4 linked regions of the Arabidopsis thaliana genome follow. The protein of the gene in region 1 purifies or fractionates together with the protein of each later gene. This does not show direct contact. Each region holds a gene or a part of one and is shown on either strand. Other genes may lie near its edges. The genes, in order: CESA6, MEF14, CER10 and ATPQ.

What was found.
Region 2: the proteins of CESA6 (region 1) and MEF14 purify together in Arabidopsis thaliana (affinity purification with mass spectrometry, with the first as the bait; one large-scale study listed by BioGRID). This does not show direct contact.
Region 3: the proteins of CESA6 (region 1) and CER10 purify together in Arabidopsis thaliana (affinity purification with mass spectrometry, with the first as the bait; one large-scale study listed by BioGRID). This does not show direct contact.
Region 4: the proteins of CESA6 (region 1) and ATPQ purify together in Arabidopsis thaliana (affinity purification with mass spectrometry, with the first as the bait; one large-scale study listed by BioGRID). This does not show direct contact.

The regions. Positions count from the first base shown.
Region 1 is NC_003076.8:25,879,103-25,887,042, forward strand, and holds CESA6 (cellulose synthase 6), read left to right. Parts: upstream 1-1,930; 5' UTR 1,931-2,452; coding exon 2,453-2,533; intron 2,534-2,927; coding exon 2,928-3,123; intron 3,124-3,211; coding exon 3,212-3,414; intron 3,415-3,497; coding exon 3,498-3,775; intron 3,776-3,857; coding exon 3,858-4,124; intron 4,125-4,207; coding exon 4,208-4,553; intron 4,554-4,740; coding exon 4,741-4,878; intron 4,879-4,964; coding exon 4,965-5,090; intron 5,091-5,201; coding exon 5,202-5,414; intron 5,415-5,497; coding exon 5,498-5,774; intron 5,775-5,859; coding exon 5,860-6,056; intron 6,057-6,138; coding exon 6,139-6,489; intron 6,490-6,649; coding exon 6,650-7,231; 3' UTR 7,232-7,626; downstream 7,627-7,940. UniProt on the Arabidopsis thaliana protein: Catalytic subunit of cellulose synthase terminal complexes ('rosettes'), required for beta-1,4-glucan microfibril crystallization, a major mechanism of the cell wall formation. Involved in the primary cell wall formation.
Region 2 is NC_003074.8:9,846,637-9,851,070, forward strand, and holds MEF14 (Phosphoglycerate mutase family protein), read left to right. Parts: upstream 1-1,991; 5' UTR 1,992-2,110; coding exon 2,111-2,650; intron 2,651-2,981; coding exon 2,982-3,641; 3' UTR 3,642-3,907; downstream 3,908-4,434. Other genes in the region: AT3G26770 (NAD(P)-binding Rossmann-fold superfamily protein), read left to right, coding at 67-443; AT3G26782 (Tetratricopeptide repeat (TPR)-like superfamily protein), read left to right, coding at 3,958-4,434.
Region 3 is NC_003074.8:20,520,383-20,524,812, reverse strand, and holds CER10 (3-oxo-5-alpha-steroid 4-dehydrogenase family protein), read left to right. Parts: upstream 1-1,714; 5' UTR 1,715-1,956; coding exon 1,957-2,025; intron 2,026-2,209; coding exon 2,210-2,249; intron 2,250-2,711; coding exon 2,712-3,466; intron 3,467-3,558; coding exon 3,559-3,627; 3' UTR 3,628-3,883; downstream 3,884-4,430. Other genes in the region: AT3G55350 (PIF / Ping-Pong family of plant transposase), read right to left, coding at 4,123-4,430.
Region 4 is NC_003074.8:19,394,648-19,398,965, forward strand, and holds ATPQ (ATP synthase D chain), read left to right. Parts: upstream 1-1,776; 5' UTR 1,777-2,041; coding exon 2,042-2,212; intron 2,213-2,634; coding exon 2,635-2,716; intron 2,717-3,004; coding exon 3,005-3,069; coding exon of another isoform or gene 3,070-3,073; intron 3,074-3,172; coding exon 3,173-3,259; intron 3,260-3,370; coding exon 3,371-3,472; 3' UTR 3,473-3,797; downstream 3,798-4,318. Other genes in the region: IQD3 (IQ-domain 3), read left to right, coding at 1-282, 384-599, 750-869, 959-1,549. UniProt on the Arabidopsis thaliana protein: Mitochondrial membrane ATP synthase (F(1)F(0) ATP synthase or Complex V) produces ATP from ADP in the presence of a proton gradient across the membrane which is generated by electron transport complexes of the respiratory chain.

The sequences.
Region 1 (7,940 bases):
CAACCCAAACATTAATCGGGTCTACGTACATAAAATCTCTAATCACGTTGACCAAGCGCTCCAGCTCGATCTGCTAGTAAAAACAGAAGCAATATATTTTTTATTTTTTTTTATGTACTTAGTTAGTGGTATATATATAGTTGTAAATTGGGTATTTCCAAAGAACCAAAGTAATGTAAACTATACATAAGCGAAAATTTAAACGTTTTTCTATTCTATAGTCTTGAAAATTAAAACAATATTTACTAGGAAAAAGAATAATATAAGGGCACCGACAGTTTCTATAAGAACATGTGGCACGAGGGCTTGGAGAAGACAGTACACAGCATTCAATCAATCATGAAAACGACATTTGATGTGGTAACCTACTAAAGTTCGATCTTTTTTTATGAAAGTTTCTTAATATTTCTTTAATTTCCGGACTATATCTATCAACAAGTCAAAAGATTAAAAAAAATCAACAAGCAAAATACTGTTAAAATATTGTTTTATATATACCACGAACTATTTGTCGGCAAATGTATACATATAGTATAGACATCATACATGGGCAAATCGCATATATTTGTGTGATGTGATACCATAGTCTCAATAATTTGAACATTTTTCTCTTATTTAAGCACGGAGGAAAAATTAGCTATATGGCGACTTGGCGAGTGGAGCCAAGATTAAAAAAAAAAAAAGCATGTTATTTAAAAATATGGTAGACATAACATACAAAAAAATATAGTAAAATAAACAGAACTGATTGAACAAAAGAGAGTGATCAAAGTTGAAAAATAATTTAACTATAAAAACTAAAAAGAAAATTATCAGAGGATGGAGATATTAAACTAATAAAAATGTAATTAAATAAGTAAACTATAAATTAAATAAGTAAAAAATTAAACGTAATTAGAAGGAACAAAAAAAACTAGAAAAGTAAAAACATAAGAGAGGAAGGAGGGAAGCAAAAGTGAAAACCAATGCAGTCAACAGTCAAAAACCATGATACAGTCCATGCGTAGAACATAATTAACTTAAGCAATAAATTTAATAAGTAAAAAATTAAACGTAATTAGAAGGAACAAAAAAAAAGTATATAAAAAATTAGAAGGAACAAAAAAAAAAACTAGAAAATAGGATCTTGGACACGATGCTTACAGATTGTTTTTTGTCTGGGAAGTAAATGCCCATATCTGTTTCTCGACATTTTGAAGTCTCTCTAACAAAATAATTAGAGGAATTAAGAACTTGATTGTGTAACTTTTTTTTTAATCTTAAATTAAGATAATACTATTTCATTACAACTATTATTTTCTTGCACATGTTGCAAGAACGTGAGAGTGTACGCAGACAAATAATTAAAACGAAAATAAAATTATAATGATTATATACAATCTCGGCTATCAATTGATTAATAGAGAAAATTGACTAACCACTCTGAATTGGCTCAAAATGTAGTTATTAATTCAAACCGAGTTTCACTTCATTTATATTATTTTCATTTTTTAACTTTAAAATATATATATTTAATAAACCAAATATGATCTAAACTAAATCTAAAAGGCTCCATCCAAAGTAGATTTGATTTTACTATATATTTAAAACATGTATGGTAGGAAAATTTAACCGAAACCAAATTAAACACATTTTAGGGTGAAGAAAATCACCCAAAAAAAAAAGGTGACTTTTTTTTGTAACAAAACAAAAGACCTAAAGTTTAGAGACAAAATAAAATGTTAGGGTGATTCAATGCATCACATAATACAGTATTGTTAATAATTAATGGCTAATAATAATGTGTGTTTGGAAGTTTTTACTAATCTCTTCTTTACAACAACAAGTGGAGTGGAAGAGAGAGATACACACAAGGTTTAATGGGTCCCACATTCTTTTACTTCTCAAAATTTAATTACTAATTTTATCTAATTTTGGTGCTCTTTTTCCTCATCTACATAATTGCCTTTAATTATCTCACACCATTTAACTAATCACTGATTCTCTTCTTCCTTACGCGTTTGTACTTAACCCCCTTTTATCATCATTTCGCAGGCTTGCGTCTGTCTCTCTCTCTCTCTCCACCATTGACTCTCTCTCTCTCTCTCGCTCTGGAATCATCCTTTATTTCTGTGACTGTGTGCACTTTCAGAGAGGAGAGAGAGGCCCAAAACCAAAAGAAAAGAAAAGGTTGTGGCTTGCAGCTGAATCAATACCATCTCCATATATACAATACACCTTCACTATTCCCCCTTTTGTATTTTTATTATATTTTTCCCATCAAAGTCTGTTTTTTTAGACTCCGGTTTGCCGCTTTGTGTGTGTGTGAGAGAGAGAAAGAGAGCTATCTATCCTCTGATTTATGGTCTCTGGATCTCTGACAATCGAGTTGAGTTAATTACAACACATTCCTCTCTTTCTCAATCGATCTGTGAAATCCAAGATTGTTAGCTGTGTCTGTTTTCAGACAAATATGAACACCGGTGGTCGGTTAATCGCCGGTTCTCACAACAGGAATGAGTTTGTCCTCATTAATGCCGATGAGAATGCCCGAGTATGTTTCTCCTCTTCTTTTGTTTCCAATTCTCTGTCTTTTGATCTGTGTTTCTCTATCTCTGTTCAAAAGTCTCTGACTTTTTTTACTTTTCTTGTGGATCTGGCTCTTACCACTGCAAATCAATTAAGATTTAGGGTTTTTAGTACTAGTATTAAGATTACGTACCCTTGTAGCTAATTTTATCAAGAATTGATTGTGTCGGTGGGATGGATTTTTCCGGATTTGACTTGTCTTAATTCTCCAATTTAAGAGATTTCTTCAATTGCAATTATGAATCTATCAATGTGAAGAGTAATAATTATGTTATTGGGTTACTTTGATCTGGTGTGAGATCCAGTCTGATAGTGTCACTACTATGATCTGATGTATTTAACTCTACTGTTTTGTGCAGATAAGATCAGTCCAAGAGCTGAGTGGACAGACATGTCAAATCTGCAGAGATGAGATCGAATTGACTGTTGATGGAGAACCGTTTGTGGCATGTAACGAATGTGCATTCCCTGTGTGTAGACCTTGCTATGAGTACGAAAGACGAGAAGGCAATCAAGCTTGTCCACAGTGCAAAACCCGTTTCAAACGTCTTAAAGGTTCGTTGTTTGTTAGACCAAATTTCTTTGGTTTTTTGTGAATGTAGAAGATTTTCTGATTTGTTCGGCCTATGTTGTTGTTTGTTAGGAAGTCCAAGAGTTGAAGGTGATGAAGAGGAAGATGACATTGATGATTTAGACAATGAGTTTGAGTATGGAAATAATGGGATTGGATTTGATCAGGTTTCTGAAGGTATGTCAATCTCTCGTCGCAACTCCGGTTTCCCACAATCTGATTTGGATTCAGCTCCACCTGGCTCTCAGATTCCATTGCTGACTTACGGCGACGAGGTAAAAATCTCAGAATGTATCCACATTGTATAACCCATCTTCAGTAATTGGCTCACTCAGATTTCTCTTTTGTTTTATTACAGGACGTTGAGATTTCTTCTGATAGACATGCTCTTATTGTTCCTCCTTCACTTGGTGGTCATGGCAATAGAGTTCATCCTGTTTCTCTTTCTGACCCGACCGTGGCTGCACATCCAAGGCCTATGGTACCTCAGAAAGATCTTGCGGTTTATGGTTATGGAAGTGTCGCTTGGAAAGATCGGATGGAGGAATGGAAGAGAAAGCAGAATGAGAAACTTCAGGTTGTTAGGCATGAAGGAGATCCTGATTTTGAAGATGGTGATGATGCTGATTTTCCAATGTAAGGCAAAGAATATAATTTTTTTTGTTGATGTCTTGTTCCGTTGCAGTGATATTTATCAAGCCTTTTTTTTCCATTTTAGGATGGATGAGGGAAGGCAGCCATTGTCTAGGAAGATACCAATCAAATCGAGCAAGATAAATCCTTACCGGATGTTAATTGTGCTACGTCTTGTGATTCTTGGTCTCTTCTTTCACTACCGTATTCTTCACCCCGTCAAAGATGCATATGCTTTGTGGCTTATTTCTGTTATATGTGAGATATGGTTTGCTGTTTCATGGGTTCTTGATCAGTTCCCTAAATGGTACCCTATCGAGCGAGAAACGTACTTGGACCGACTCTCATTAAGGTACTTACATCTTGTGGGTTATTACACTTGGAAATGTTAAAACTTTGTTTTGGGGATATAATCCTTATTTTTTTTGTTTGCAGATATGAGAAAGAAGGGAAACCGTCGGGACTATCCCCTGTGGATGTATTTGTTAGTACAGTGGATCCATTGAAAGAGCCTCCGCTTATTACTGCAAATACTGTCTTGTCTATTCTTGCTGTTGATTATCCTGTCGATAAGGTTGCTTGTTACGTATCTGATGATGGTGCTGCTATGCTTACTTTCGAAGCTCTTTCTGAGACCGCTGAATTCGCAAGGAAATGGGTTCCTTTCTGCAAGAAATATTGTATTGAGCCTCGTGCTCCCGAATGGTATTTCTGCCATAAAATGGACTACTTGAAGAATAAAGTTCATCCCGCATTTGTTAGGGAGCGGCGAGCCATGAAGGTTACTAGTTCTTACTTTTTTATAAATTTGATTTGATGAGAAAAGTTTTGGTCTAATTGATTCTTGCTTTAGAAAAAAAAAATTCATGAGAAAAGTTATCAATCTTTTGTTATATGGGCTCTTATGAAAGAAGATGGTGGCTTTGAAAATTGATTTGAAAGATTGTGTGTTTTACTGGTTTTGACAGAGAGATTATGAAGAATTCAAAGTAAAGATCAATGCTTTAGTAGCAACAGCACAGAAAGTGCCTGAGGATGGTTGGACTATGCAAGACGGTACACCTTGGCCCGGTAATAGTGTGCGAGATCATCCTGGCATGATTCAGGTGAGTTTCAAATGCTTCTTATTTCTGAAAAGCCTTCTTATGTGTTGTCCTTCAAAATTTAATTATACTTTGTTTTCTTGTTAAAGGTCTTCCTTGGAAGTGACGGTGTTCGTGATGTCGAAAACAACGAGTTGCCTCGATTAGTTTACGTTTCTCGTGAGAAGAGACCCGGATTTGATCACCATAAGAAGGCTGGAGCTATGAATTCCCTGGTAAATGATATACTTTTTAAAGCTCTAAACCTTCTTCTTTGTAAATTACGTCTTGCCATTTATTGAAATGGTTCCTGACTCTTGATTTCATCTACAAAACTTTTGTTGAAGATACGAGTCTCTGGGGTTCTATCAAATGCTCCTTACCTTCTGAATGTCGATTGTGATCACTACATCAACAATAGCAAAGCTCTTAGAGAAGCAATGTGTTTCATGATGGATCCTCAGTCAGGAAAGAAAATCTGTTATGTTCAGTTCCCTCAAAGGTTCGATGGGATTGATAGGCACGATCGATACTCAAATCGCAATGTTGTGTTCTTTGATGTAAGTACAGCCACCACTTTCCTATTGTATCCCTTTTTCTTGAGATTTCTGTAGAATACCAACTAATGAATCTTTATTTACAGATCAATATGAAAGGTTTGGATGGGCTACAAGGGCCTATATACGTCGGTACAGGTTGTGTTTTCAGGAGGCAAGCGCTTTACGGATTTGATGCACCGAAGAAGAAGAAGGGCCCACGTAAGACATGCAATTGCTGGCCAAAATGGTGTCTCCTATGTTTTGGTTCAAGAAAGAATCGTAAAGCAAAGACAGTGGCTGCGGATAAGAAGAAGAAGAATAGGGAAGCGTCAAAGCAGATCCACGCATTAGAAAATATCGAAGAGGGCCGCGTCACTAAAGGTATCATACAAATCCTGTTTGTTGTTAAACTCTTTCGTTAGTCGGTGCATTTTACTAAAAAAATAAAATTTAAAAAACATTCTAGGTTCTAACGTAGAACAGTCAACCGAGGCAATGCAAATGAAGTTGGAGAAGAAATTTGGGCAGTCTCCTGTATTTGTTGCATCTGCGCGTATGGAGAATGGTGGGATGGCTAGAAACGCAAGCCCGGCTTGTCTGCTTAAAGAAGCCATCCAAGTCATTAGTTGCGGATATGAAGATAAAACTGAATGGGGAAAAGAGGTAAGCAGCCGGTTTTAAACCTTTGTTGTGTTTATTCAATCAATTCTTGATTTTGATGATGACCTTGTGAAAAAAATCTCAGATTGGGTGGATCTATGGTTCTGTTACCGAAGATATTCTTACGGGTTTTAAGATGCATTCTCATGGTTGGAGATCTGTTTATTGTACACCAAAGTTAGCGGCTTTCAAAGGATCAGCTCCAATCAATCTTTCGGATCGTCTCCATCAAGTTCTTCGATGGGCGCTTGGGTCGGTTGAGATTTTCTTGAGTAGGCATTGTCCTATTTGGTATGGTTATGGAGGTGGGTTGAAATGGCTTGAGCGGTTGTCCTACATTAACTCTGTGGTTTACCCGTGGACCTCTCTACCGCTCATCGTTTACTGTTCTCTCCCTGCCATCTGTCTTCTCACTGGAAAATTCATCGTTCCCGAGGTAAAACAATCATCTTGAGTTCTCAAAATATGAATCTTTATTTCACGTTTTGTGCTTATTCATTTTCCTTGCCACTGGGGGTTAAAAGTATCATATGAATCTTTATTCCAAGTTGTGTGTTTTAAGACCGGAAAACGATTCTTGTTCCTTCTTTTTCCAGATTAGCAACTATGCGAGTATCCTCTTCATGGCGCTCTTCTCGTCGATTGCAATAACGGGTATTCTCGAGATGCAATGGGGCAAAGTTGGGATCGATGATTGGTGGAGAAACGAACAGTTTTGGGTCATTGGAGGTGTTTCTGCGCATCTGTTTGCTCTCTTCCAAGGTCTCCTCAAGGTTCTTGCTGGTGTCGACACTAACTTCACAGTCACATCAAAAGCAGCTGATGATGGAGAGTTCTCTGACCTTTACCTCTTCAAATGGACTTCACTTCTCATCCCTCCAATGACTCTACTCATCATAAACGTCATTGGAGTCATAGTCGGAGTCTCTGATGCCATCAGCAATGGATACGACTCGTGGGGACCGCTTTTCGGAAGACTGTTCTTTGCACTTTGGGTCATCATTCATCTTTACCCGTTCCTTAAAGGTTTGCTTGGGAAACAAGATAGAATGCCAACCATTATTGTCGTCTGGTCCATCCTCCTGGCCTCGATTCTTACACTTCTTTGGGTCCGGGTTAATCCGTTTGTGGCGAAAGGCGGTCCTATTCTCGAGATCTGTGGTTTAGACTGCTTGTGATTCGATTGACCGGTGGATGGGTTGGTGAAAAAGGTTTAATTCCCACGGATCAAAGAGAGGTAAGAGAGATATTGTTTTACCTCTAAAAGACTCCTTCATTGTGTTCATTAGATGATGAAAAATGAAAAGAAAAAGAAGATTTAATTTTGTTACGAGAATTGTTATTTTTGCAAGAATGTGTTGTAGATATAGAGATGAAGAAGAAAGTTGTTGTCTATTTGTTTTGTTCTTTGGTGGTGAGAGAAAAAAGATTTGTCAAATTATTCTTTAATTGAATATTTCTGATCTCTTTTGAATATTACAGAAGAGCATTTTCAATCTGTAATCTTTTATGATTAAAGAACTTTGATTTATTTTCACTAATTTCCCTATCTTATTTCTTGTTTGAAAAATTAATTTACTCGAGGTTTGATTGGTTTTGATTTTCAATCCGCATGCTTGGAGACGTTTTAAAGCATCCATTAAAAATGTTACCAAACCTTAGAAAATTACGAACTTGATCAGAGTGGCCCAAAACAAATTATACAGGCCCAATACAGGCCCGAATCTACACAGCCTTTTACACTTTTATTGGTTCTGTTTTGACAAGTGACATGGTGCTTTCATCATATCTGCAGAGGGCAGCACTCAGATTGGTTAGTCTTTTTGGTTAGAGAATTTTGAAAACTTTTTTGTTTCTCATTTGTAAGTGTCACTACGCAAAGTAATT
Region 2 (4,434 bases), on another chromosome or scaffold:
GCTTAATAGTTTTCAATTTGTGGTCAACACTCAAATTTGACTTTTGGTATGGACAAAACAATGTAGGCGTGACTGGAGGGTTGGCTCCACATTCATACACAATCTCAAAGTTCACAACTCCCGGAATAGTCAAGTCGGCAGCAAGCGAGCTCTGCGAACACGGCGTGCGTATAAACTGTATCTCACCGGGTACGGTGGCTACACCGCTCACTCTCAGTTACCTTCAGAAAGTGTTTCCGAAGGTATCGGAGGAGAAGCTACGCGAAACAGTGAAAGGAATGGGTGAGTTAAAAGGAGCTGAGTGTGAAGAAGCTGACGTGGCTAAGGCTGCTTTGTATTTGGCTTCCAACGACGGTAAATACGTTACTGGCCATAACTTGGTCGTGGATGGTGGCATGACTGCTTTCAAAATAGCTGGTTTTCCTTTTCCTTCGGATTCATGATCAATCATTTTGTATCGTCTATAAATAACTTTGTACTGTATTCAAGATTTTATATCAAAGTTGGATCTTAAAACATTTAATAAATTTTCAAAGCAACCAACTAAATATAAAAGTTTCTATAGTAAGAGTTAACTTTGATAACATATGACTTTCATTTGAATACAAGCTGGCATGAACTTGAAGCTTTGATCACAGTTTCCAACTCCTCGACCATCTCAACTCTCTCTTTCGAGGTAAGGCGTTTTGTGAGGAAAGTTGCTTTATCCAAACGACTTGCGTTACTAAGGATATATTTCGTCACCTCTTTTTCATCTTCTCGCCATTCGTAGTCTTCCCATACAAATGTCTCCAGATGGAGTAACATACATTTAGGAATATTCTTTGGCTGAATCCATTTCCACAAGGGTACGCCATCTAAACTTTTCTGCCATGGCTGTGGTTATGAGATCAATGGCGAGTTAACACAAAGTAAATTACATGTATATTAGATCATCAAACCCTAAGTTGAGGTGGAAATTTGCTAAAAGATGAATTTTCAATGCTTACACCGATGAGCTTGAGGACTTGTAAATTAGGAGAATGATCGAGCATGAGCATTAGTAGATTCCAACAATCAGCTCTATATATACACAGCTCCAAATATACCAACTGATAAAATATAGGAAATGGAATCTATACATGAAGGCAATATTATTAGTAGAGTAACAATGCAATAATAAGGAAACTAACTAATTACAAGAAAACCTTACCTTCAAGGCTGATATCTCCAAGGAGAGACGTTTGACTGAAGTCAGTGATCTCAAGATGAAACTTTTATTATTGTTGACAATATTTGCCTCCAACAGCATAGGTGCATTCTCAATAAGACAAGATCCACGACCACCAATCCATATACTTCAAGTATTTTAAAGAAGGAGCATTTATCACAAAGCCCACATGTTCTTTATCATTTCTATTACAAATCGATAGTCTTTGTAAGGAAGGAACTGCAATAGTTAAAGGCTTCACATTGGAGTATAGAGTTCCATGCACATCCAAGTTTTCAAGATTAGGACAACCAGATAAAAGGTTAAGAACTGATGTATTGTTTATGAAGTTCACATAGTGAAGGTGCAGAGTTCTAAGAGATTTCAGACAAACTGAAGAAGGGACAACCATACGAACCAAAAACTTGACTTCCAAGGTATCTAGTGTTTCACAATTGCACAAGCTTTCAGGAAATATGAACCGTCCTCTAGGTGCAATCTGATCCAGTATGAAAATTAATGGAAGATATCTAAAGTTATTTAATCCAAATCTATTTTTCTAAATAATTTTGATAATATATATATATATATATGTATCTATTTTTATTAATAGTTTTTATTTTACAATTTAATTTAATAAGTTTATGCAATTATTTTTGTATTTTTGTTTAGCTACATTGGTGGATATAGCGGCGTTGGTGAATAAAATTCCAGCGTATACAAGGCCAGACGTTTTATCCTATAACGGGCCGGGCCCAATATTTAAACCTTCTAGCTCACACAGAGGTCAAAGTTTTTGCTCTCGTCTCTAGATCTGTAGAAGTAGAATGGTGGAGCCATCGAGCCATGTGATGTGATCGAAACAAAAAGCTCTTTGCTTCTTCTTCGTCCATTTCTCGTAGCACACTTTTCACAAAGAAGATGGGTTCTTCACAATCTACGCAAATGGAAGACGAAGAAGAAGAAGAAGAGGAAACTGACAATGAAGAAGAAGAAGAAGAAGATAATGGCAGATCAAACACAAGACAATTAGACAATCTCCTAGTAAAGAAAGTTCTAGAACAAGAGCCTGAGATGTTACCATGTCACGCTTCAGCTTCACCACTCTCACCACAACTATCATCTCTCGGTACTCCAAGGCTTGGACCATCGATTAAAGTCTGGGATCCTTACAACGTCCTCTCTCCGCCGCCGCAACCGCCGTCTATCTTCTCTCGAATCGTGTCTGGTGATGAAGATCGAGCTGTGACAGAGGTTTATCTGATTAGCCATGGTGAGTCTGATCTTAATCTTAAACCTGATTTGATTGGTGGGAGATGTCATGTAGCTGCTCTTACTGCTAATGGTAAACGTCAAGCTAGGGCTCTTGCTGTTTTCTTCAAATCTCAAGGTGTTCGGTTTAATTCGGTTTATTCGTCACCTCTAGATCGAGCTAGATCCATGGCTGTTTCTGTTTGTCAGGTAAAGTTTCTTCTCTTAGATCTAAGGTTTAACGAAGTGTACAATGTTGCCTAATTTGTGTGAGATTGATCTGTGGTAATATCTTGGGAATGAATTAAGTAAGAGTTGATTGATCTAATGAATCCATTGAAACCACTAAGTACTGTTGTTACTGCTCTTTGTGTGAGCTTATCTTGTTCATGGTTGATTAAGGAGTTTCTTAGTCTTCTATAACTATAGCTTAGGCACAATCTAAAGAGTATATATCTTAGGATCATACATCAATGTATCATTTAGTGAAAGAAATGAGATTGAAAGTGGTTATTGAATTGGACACATTTTGTTTTTAAAGGAAATGAGTTTTCCGGAGGAGCATGTACAATCTTCGGATGCTGTTATTGAGATGAGTTTAGGGGATTGGGAAGGCTGTAATCAAGCAGAGATTTATAGTCCTGAAACTTTGAGTTTGATTGAAAGGTGCCAACCTGATTTCACAGCTCCATCTGGAGAATCACTGAGGCAAGTAGAGTTTCGAATGGTTCAGTTTCTAAACGGGACAGTCTCAGGAGTTGCAGAGAAGCTTAGGTCAGATTATTCTTCCACTACGAATCACAATGAAACTCATGAGCGTGATGGTGGTGTGTCACTTGCTTCGACTAACTGGGACTTACTACACAAGCATCGTCCCAGTCTTACAAGGAAGAAATCTGGTAAAAGCAGGCTTCAAGTGATGACTAATCACGAACCTGACGATGGAAACTCCCCAAGGGAAGAAGTTAATCATAATCACACTGACCTAAGTGATTCGTCTTCCTTAATCTCGAATTGTGTCGGGGTTTTCACGCATTCTTTGCCTATAAAGTGTCTTTTAACCGGAATCCTCGGTTGCAGTCCGGTAATGACTCATAAGATCTGTGTAGAAGACTCTTCAGTGACTGTGTTACAACATTCATGGAGAAACGGGTGGCAGATCAAACGAATGAATGATACTGCTCATCTTAGATTGTTGTAACTTTATTTACCGATAAATTATTTGGAAAAACGAGGATTCATATATGTTTACACCATGAATCTGCAGAAGCTCAAGAACAAAGGTTCTGCAGATAATGAAATGCCACGGCCTCTTTGTAATGTTTTGTTTGTGACATGAGGAAAAAAGATAAACAAAATGGATTCATTGATTTTGATTTGATATTTGTTCTTGTCTGATACTATTTGAGTGTGAAATTAGAGATTTTTTTGTTTGCAAATTTCTTTTCCTATGTTTGATTATAAGTACTTATAATCAAATTAGTCGAAATATTACTTTGAGACAAAAGAATGAATGAATGAAGGTTCGGAGTAAAAAAGCACTGTTTTGTTCCGTCTCTCGTCTTCTCCACACGGAGAGACACACAGAGAGACAAAACCTAACAACGCTGTTCAACAGATATGTCGACAAAACAGATGTTTTCTCATGGAACTCTGTCATCGCCGACCTCGCTCGTAGCGGTGATTCTGCTGAAGCTCTTCTCGCTTTTTCCTCAATGCGGAAGCTTTCTCTATACCCAACTCGCTCTAGCTTTCCTTGCGCCATTAAAGCATGTTCGTCTCTTTTTGATATCTTCTCCGGCAAACAGACCCATCAGCAAGCTTTTGTCTTCGGTTATCAATCCGACATCTTTGTGTCTTCGGCTTTGATCGTTATGTATTCAACTTGTGGGAAACTGGAGGATGCACGGAAAGTGTTCGACGAAATTCCCAAGAGAAATATTGTATCTTGGACTTCGATGATTCGAGGGTATGATCTTAACGGTAATGCCCTT
Region 3 (4,430 bases), on another chromosome or scaffold:
ACGATACAGTTTGTCATGTTAATCTTTCAAGCTCAAAAAATATAAAAATTGTATGAAAATCTGATACGGTAAATCTATATATTCTTTTGCATGTTTTTAAAGGAGCACTTATCTTTATTTGTTATAGAAATTTATTATTTAAAAGAAATTCGTCTTTATAGAAATGTGCATGTGTTTTTTTTATTAGTAACACATTTTCATGCAACAGGAATCTTCGCTTATCTGTAGTGTACATCTCATGAGCCCATATTCATAGTTGTAAAGCAACACCTTCTCTGCAGCTTTTTCTTTCCTATTGTTTTTTGTATCCATAGTTCACATCTACACACTATATAAGGCTATTACAAACAATGATACAATATATGTTCTCATATAATTTGATCTTAATTTTCAAGATATTTAAGGTGGGAAAATATCGAGATAGTATACAATGGAAATCGTTACCACGTGCATGCCAATCTTTAGTAGAAGAAGATTCCTAGATTCCAACAAGAACATGCGCATTTTTTCACGAAAGGCTGGAAAGTTTAATATATAATGGTCGAAAAAATAGGCATAATCTATTTAAGTACTAGCTTAAGTGTTTTACGCTAGATCTGGTGTTGACACTTGTACACCTGGTTTTAAAGTTGCAGAGAAAACTAGATTAATGCTCAAATTGTAGTAAGTAGATTGGATAATTTACACTCGGAAAAAACAAGTTTTTTCAGAAGAATTAGACTGTTGCTCACTTGAGAAAAATCTAGCTAGCTTTGTTAATTGAGGATAGTTAGTTATAGTATTTGAATGACATTAAGGTGTTTGAATATCGCATGAATTGTCGCCTTGGTATTTGGGCAATTACCGGTCATTATTTTGATCTTTGTGATGTCAACTAATCGATCCCAACCATATATATCATAAACTACTGTCTCTTAATTGATCCATTGTGTTTTTAATTTTATCATTACTTTTTTTAACTAGTTGAGAGAATGATTATCTAACCCCTTTCATATTCAGAAAACTTAGGTTTTGAGTTTTTGCTTTATTTGCTGCTCTCTTGAATTAATAGAGCTCTCGTATGCGATTGACTTTGGGTGATTTTTTTTTGTTGGAAAAGCAAATTTCATTGACCAATATAACTAAACTAACACACTACTTCCATGTGGTTAAGGGCCGGGATCATTTATTATTTGCATCTTTTATACGACAATGACAAGGATTCGTTCTCATTACTCCATCCCATTTTGTGGTATGTAAAATCCTAACTTTTTTACTGCATTGATACAACATTTTATTTTAGCATTAGATCAATACGATGGACATATGTCATCAAGTGAGGGGGTAGAAGTTTGCAACTAATGTTTTTGTGCTCATGAATCAATCTCTTCTAGGTAACATTATTTCACTCTTTTCTATAGCGAATACTGCAATGCTTTTACGTTTTAACTAAACATGACTAAACCAAATACCAAAAAAAAAACGAGTAACACTTTGGTGGTTCCTATCTAAGTTGACCGGATCACTCGATTTGATAAAAAAAATTATAGTAAAAGTTTTTGTTTTTGAATACAAATTATATATTTGACTAAAATTCGAAACTTAACCGAAACTAAAACCTTAGCAGATAATCTATAGTATAGTAGATTCATAAACCGAAAAAACAAAAATCTAAACCTAAACTGAGTAATTACTAATGGTGGATCCTTAAAACAAAGCCATAATTTGCAATTGCAACAAATGTTTTTGTTTGGAGTAAAAACCAAAAAAAAAATGATGGGGAGCAACTAAAAATGTAAAATGGTCCCAATCTAATCGCATAAGTTGGGAAGATAGTTAGTAGTTCTCCTACTCCCAACTACATCCTCTTCAATGCTCAATCTCGTCTTCTTCTTCCTCTCTATTTAATTTCCCTTGTCTCTCTATCTCTCTCAATTTCCTCATCTGGGTCTTCCTCGTTTGCTCCGCTTAAGCACCATGAAGGTCACCGTCGTCTCCCGCAGCGGCAGAGAAGTCCTCAAAGCTCCCCTTGACCTCCCCGATTCGGTACTTTCTCGTTTCTTATGATACTCTCTTCTCCGATCTGCTTCTTCTTCTGATTCGTGGGTTTGTTTCCAAAATGTGATTGAAGGTTTTTGTTCTTTAGTTTGGTCCCTCAATGTAGGGAAAGTTGCATGCTTTATGATTTTTGGGTTGTTGATTTCGATTTCGTGTGTTTTGTGCTTCGCAGGCGACTGTTGCTGATCTGCAAGAAGCGTTTCATAAGAGAGGTAAAGTTTCCAAAGTTTTCATTTTTACTTGAAATTTGACTTGTCGAATGTTGGTATAGATCTCACCTGAGTGTGTAAGCTTAAGCTAGTGTTTATGTGTTTGAGTTCTCCTTATACCATTTGATGCTTATGGGGTTATATAATCAAGATCTGTGTGGAAGCTTAAGGAGTATTTAGATTTGATAATGTTTTCTGCTGATAAGGATCACTTAAGCTTCTAAACACAGTTTTGGATTTGAATTAATCATCACAACCTTTTGTCATTTATGGATCAGTCCCTTTTTAGCTTTAATAAAGGTTCACTTTAGATTGTCCATCAATGGCAATTATCTGAAATCATCTTACTATACAGTACAATGTATATTCTGTATGTATTATATTTATCTCGTTCATTCAAATCTTAGTTTGATTTTCTCTCAGTAGGTATTAAACTGTTTGATTTGGGTTTTGTTGTTTCAACAGCTAAGAAGTTTTACCCGTCGAGGCAAAGACTGACTCTTCCCGTGACTCCTGGATCGAAGGACAAACCTGTTGTCCTCAATAGCAAGAAATCACTGAAGGAGTACTGTGATGGAAACAACAACTCCTTAACTGTAGTCTTCAAAGACCTGGGGGCACAAGTTTCCTACCGCACACTCTTCTTCTTCGAGTATCTTGGCCCTCTCCTTATCTACCCTGTCTTTTACTACTTCCCTGTTTACAAGTTTCTTGGTTATGGAGAGGACTGTGTGATCCATCCGGTCCAGACGTACGCTATGTACTACTGGTGCTTTCACTACTTCAAACGGATCTTAGAAACGTTTTTCGTACATCGGTTCAGCCACGCAACCTCCCCAATCGGGAATGTGTTCAGGAACTGTGCTTATTACTGGAGCTTTGGTGCTTACATTGCTTATTACGTCAACCATCCCTTGTACACTCCAGTTAGTGACCTTCAGATGAAGATTGGTTTCGGGTTTGGTTTGGTTTGCCAAGTCGCAAACTTTTACTGTCACATATTGCTGAAGAATCTGAGGGACCCCAGTGGGGCTGGAGGCTACCAGATTCCACGCGGTTTCCTCTTCAACATTGTTACATGTGCCAATTACACTACCGAGATTTACCAATGGCTAGGATTCAACATCGCTACTCAGACCATTGCAGGATATGTTTTCCTCGCTGTTGCTGCTCTAATCATGACTAATTGGGCTCTTGGAAAGCACAGCCGTCTGAGAAAGGTAAACATAGCGGTCTCACGATATGATTTTAGCGGAACTGAAAATTCTCAAATAATGTTCTTATTGTGGATTGTTTGATATTGGTATTGCAGATATTTGATGGAAAAGATGGAAAGCCAAAGTATCCAAGAAGATGGGTGATACTTCCTCCATTCCTTTAGAAGCCATTGTTGCTTATCAGTAAAAGCTCTTAATAAAGCTGAAAATGAGACTTTCTTTGGGTTCTCTGTATCGTTTCCTTTTTTGTTCGGTCTATGTATTGGTTATAACATGTTTATTCCTTTTGTTTCAATATGTTTTGATTTTTGAAGTTAGAGAGATTTAGAAATGTACTTGTGTAGTTGTTTCTCACGCAAACCAATTCCTCTTTATGTATCGCATACATGAGTCAATAATAAATATGATTACTAGTAACATAAATCAGTCTATGCGGCATTCTATAATGACAATTGCAATGAGTTTAGACGTCGATGAAACATACAAGTTGTATAAATTAAAAATAACATTCATAAGATACACATTTTTGTTTGTCCCATAAAAGAATATGTCAATAGATCAAATCAAACGATAAAATGTTATGCTAAACAAAATTACCAGAAGGAAAAAGAAGCAAATGAAGCTTTCATAGAAAGACCACAAGAACCGGGAGAGAGTAATCAAGCTGATGAATTTTTTCCACACAGTTGGTCAGAGAGTTCATCTCTCAAGACCGATGAAGCCTCATCGGCAAGCTTGCAGCTTCGTTGTCTGTAGTTCATGTCATGTTGCTGAGACAAAGGTTGGTCATCCAAAGTTTGATCCTCCATATCGATAATAATGTTGTGCAGCAAGCAACAGACAAAGATTATCCTTGGTAACCGGTTTCTATCAGGCATCCACATTACCCCGTTTATTATCCTCCACCTGTCTTTAAGCTTCGATAGTGCCATCTGCGCGGCTTTTGTTGCCTCGGAGTGTCTTTTGT
Region 4 (4,318 bases), on another chromosome or scaffold:
AAGAAATGGTTTGGTAAATCCAAGAAGCTAGATGTTACTAATTCTGGTGCAGCATATTCTCCTCGTACTGTCAAAGACGCGAAACTAAAGGAGATTGAGGAGCAACAGAGCAGACATGCTTACTCTGTGGCTATTGCAACTGCTGCAGCTGCAGAGGCAGCCGTTGCAGCTGCTCAAGCTGCTGCTGAAGTTGTTCGTCTCTCTGCATTATCACGGTTCCCCGGGAAATCAATGGAAGAGATCGCCGCTATCAAGATTCAGACAGCATTTAGAGGATATATGGTAACGTTTTTGTTTTTTAACATTTTCAAGTCTAGTAACTATAAAGGTGGTTTTGCTAACTAATGGAACAAAGTTCATACTTTTTGGTTACCCTTTATTAGGCAAGAAGAGCATTGCGTGCGTTGAGAGGTCTTGTGAGGCTAAAATCTTTAGTCCAGGGGAAATGTGTGAGACGTCAAGCCACATCTACATTGCAAAGCATGCAAACACTAGCTAGAGTACAATATCAGATTCGTGAGAGAAGGCTCCGATTGTCTGAGGATAAACAGGCTTTAACACGACAGCTCCAACAAAAACACAATAAAGACTTTGATAAGGTAAGCAAATCAAATCCTTACAAAGATGTTTATAATTTTAGTTACAAACTTGGCTTTTTGTTGATCTCGGATACATGAGAAATTCACAATGTGAAATAGATTATGTTTCTTGCTACAAACTTAAAGATTGTATTACGTTTTGTGAAATAGACTGGAGAAAATTGGAATGATAGTACATTGTCGCGGGAGAAAGTTGAAGCAAACATGTTGAACAAGCAAGTAGCAACAATGAGAAGAGAAAAAGCGCTTGCATATGCATTCAGTCACCAGGTATTAAACTAGTTTCCTATCTTACTTTAGTGTGTCTTTACACCAGAAGAATTATATATCTCAAAATGGTGAAACTTGTTAATATGCAGAATACATGGAAAAACTCAACTAAAATGGGTTCTCAAACATTCATGGACCCTAACAATCCGCATTGGGGTTGGAGTTGGCTAGAACGTTGGATGGCTGCTCGACCAAACGAAAACCACTCACTCACACCAGATAATGCTGAAAAAGACTCTTCTGCTAGGAGTGTAGCAAGCCGTGCCATGTCTGAGATGATTCCACGAGGCAAAAACCTTTCACCAAGAGGAAAGACACCAAACAGTCGAAGAGGGTCAAGCCCGAGAGTGAGGCAAGTCCCAAGTGAAGACTCAAACAGCATTGTGAGTTTCCAATCAGAACAACCTTGCAATCGTAGGCATAGCACTTGTGGATCAATTCCATCAACTAGAGACGATGAAAGCTTCACCAGTAGTTTCTCTCAGTCAGTTCCAGGCTACATGGCACCTACACAAGCCGCCAAAGCAAGAGCTCGATTCTCAAACCTTAGTCCTCTAAGCTCAGAGAAGACAGCGAAAAAACGGCTTTCCTTCTCGGGATCTCCTAAGACTGTAAGACGGTTTTCAGGTCCACCAAAGCTGGAAAGCAATGTTACTAAGAAAGATACTAATCTTGCTTAAACAGAGAATGGATATATATATATAGTTTATATCTGACATTGTTGATTAGGCAAAAGTCTGGTGCAGAGGTGAATTCAGAGAAGATTCTGTTATGTCTTTGTTTGTTTTTTTGGTATTTTTTTTTACTACAACAAACTTAATTATTTGTTTGACTTTTTTAATTGGTTGAACATATTTGTATTGATGAAGAGACATATATAATTTTCCACATGCTATCTGAGTTCCTTCTTTAACATATTTGCTAACGCCAAAGTAATCTAAAACATAGAACCAGTATTGAAACTTAATGGGGGTGTTTTTTAGGTCAATTAAATAATAAAGGGGTTAAATTAGAAATAAAGAGAAGTAAAAGGGCCTGTAAGCCTTTTAGGGATTCTAGGGCTTTCCTTCATTGGTCAGATCAGACGACGTTTTACATCTTCTTCTTCTTCCTCTTCGATATTCGTCAGTGTGTGTATTTTGGGGAAAACTTTGTGAGCAAAGAGCGAGAAAATGAGCGGAGCCGGTAAGAAAATCGCGGATGTGGCTTTCAAAGCTTCAAGGACTATCGATTGGGATGGTATGGCTAAGGTCCTTGTCACAGATGAGGCTCGTAGAGAGTTCTCTAACCTTCGTCGTGCTTTCGATGAGGTTAACACACAGCTCCAGACCAAATTTAGTCAGGTTCTCCTCTCGATTTCCCCCCTCTCTTGATCTGATTTTGTCACTACTGCTTGGTTTAGACTTTTTAGATCTTTATAATTTCGATTTCTGGATCAGGTGCTTCTTTCACGAATTTTTACGATTATCAGATTTTTGTTGGTGACACTCATTTTTTTCTATTTTGTTGATGTTGTTGTTCCCATTGTTGATTGATCCAGATATGTGTTAAGATCTATTTCCTTAAGACGTGTTAATCAGAGAACATTGTGGTTGGTCTTTGTTTATTGATCATTAGAAATGTGGAATTGTATCGAGAAAAACATTGATGTATACTATGATTAGCCCACTACATTTCCAATTCCTAAGAGATCTTTTATTTCCTAACTTGTTTTATGTATTGGGTTGTGGAGTGATTGTTGTTTTTGGTTATCCTTTTAATCCAGGAACCTGAACCTATAGATTGGGATTACTATAGGAAGGGTATTGGAGCTGGCATTGTTGACAAGTACAAGGAAGCTTATGACAGTAAGTTTTATTTTCTCTGCAATTTATACTGATACTTGGGAGCGTTTGTGTAGCCTTGCAACTCATTATCACAATGAGTTTGTCAGTGGTTATCAAGCGGATGTCTTTTGCTTGCCTTACTTCGGCTCTCAAACCTGACTATATTGTTTTGAGAGAGATGTGCTTAAGAATGGGGGCTGAAACTGAAGTTCTTATACTTGTTATATATCTATTTGATTGTTGGAATTGTGGAGATATATCAAAGAAGATTATGAGAAACTAAACTGCATCTTTTATGGCTTGCTGCAGGCATTGAGATTCCAAAGTACGTTGACAAAGTTACTCCTGAATACAAGCCAAAGTTTGATGCTTTGGTGAGTAATAGCTGAGACACTCGAGACTTTTTTACAATTTTGACAGGTCTTTTCAATTGACATCGTTTTTGTTCTCTTGTGCCATGTTTCATGCTATATCTAGTTGGTGGAACTGAAAGAAGCAGAACAGAAATCGCTCAAGGAGTCTGAACGGTTGGAGAAAGAAATTGCTGATGTCCAAGAGATCAGCGTAAGTAGCCAGAAAAAACAAATCCTCTTCTATGAAGTTTGTGTGTATTTTTTTTCAACTCAAGATTCTGATAAAATGATCATGGTTGTTTCTATGTGTTGGTGTAATCAGAAAAAGCTCAGCACCATGACTGCAGATGAGTACTTTGAGAAGCACCCGGAACTCAAAAAGAAGTTTGATGACGAAATCCGTAATGACAACTGGGGATACTGATCATGTTTCTCCATCTCCGGCTTGGAAAGAAAACTCTCTTTCTCTTTCTCTGTTCTCTTACTGTGATTTTGTGAGCCAATCATAACAATAATAAGTACACCATTCACTTAAGCAGTGTTGAGATCTTCATTCCAAGGAAGATAAACGCATTTGGTTTTAGTTATCAATTTCACAAATTGTTTCGTTTCGTTCTTCAGTGAATAATAAGAGTCAAAAAAATTATCATTGTCAAGGAATGAAGAAGACTCTTGACTCGTCATTGTTACATTTCCTCTCTTAGCTAACAGGATAGTATTAATGTCATGTTTTTAGTTGATTTTTTTGAGTTAGCAATTCGGTGCAATGGTAAATAAAGACGAACCCAAACCAACTCTGGTAAGCAAATTTGGTTGATAAGTCTGTCGGTTTGTTGTTAAGCCTTCGGTTTACCTCGAACCGGGTTTTAGAATTTTTGTCGACCCAGAAACACATATCCCAGATTTCGTTCTTCAAGACACAATGCTAATTTCTGCAATTACACTCAAGTGGTGAGCTTATTACTTGATGGAGCCTTGCGCAACCATAGATAGTTCACGAAATGGTATGCGGTTAATGGTTATCAAAGGTGGGTGAGGTCTTTGATTCTGACCGTTCATAGAGGGTTAATATAATCGATTGCTATTTTTGATTTTTGCCGTTAAGTCTCTCTGTAAGGTCCAGTGCATGTTACTGCTTGTCTAATTACACGAAACAAATACTGGTTAGCTATGTGCTTAGAGCAGAATGCTTAATAACAAGTAGAAAGACAAATCTTTATTGGTCTAAAAGAATCAAGATCCACGTGCTCTCCTCCTACCCTCTTCTTTG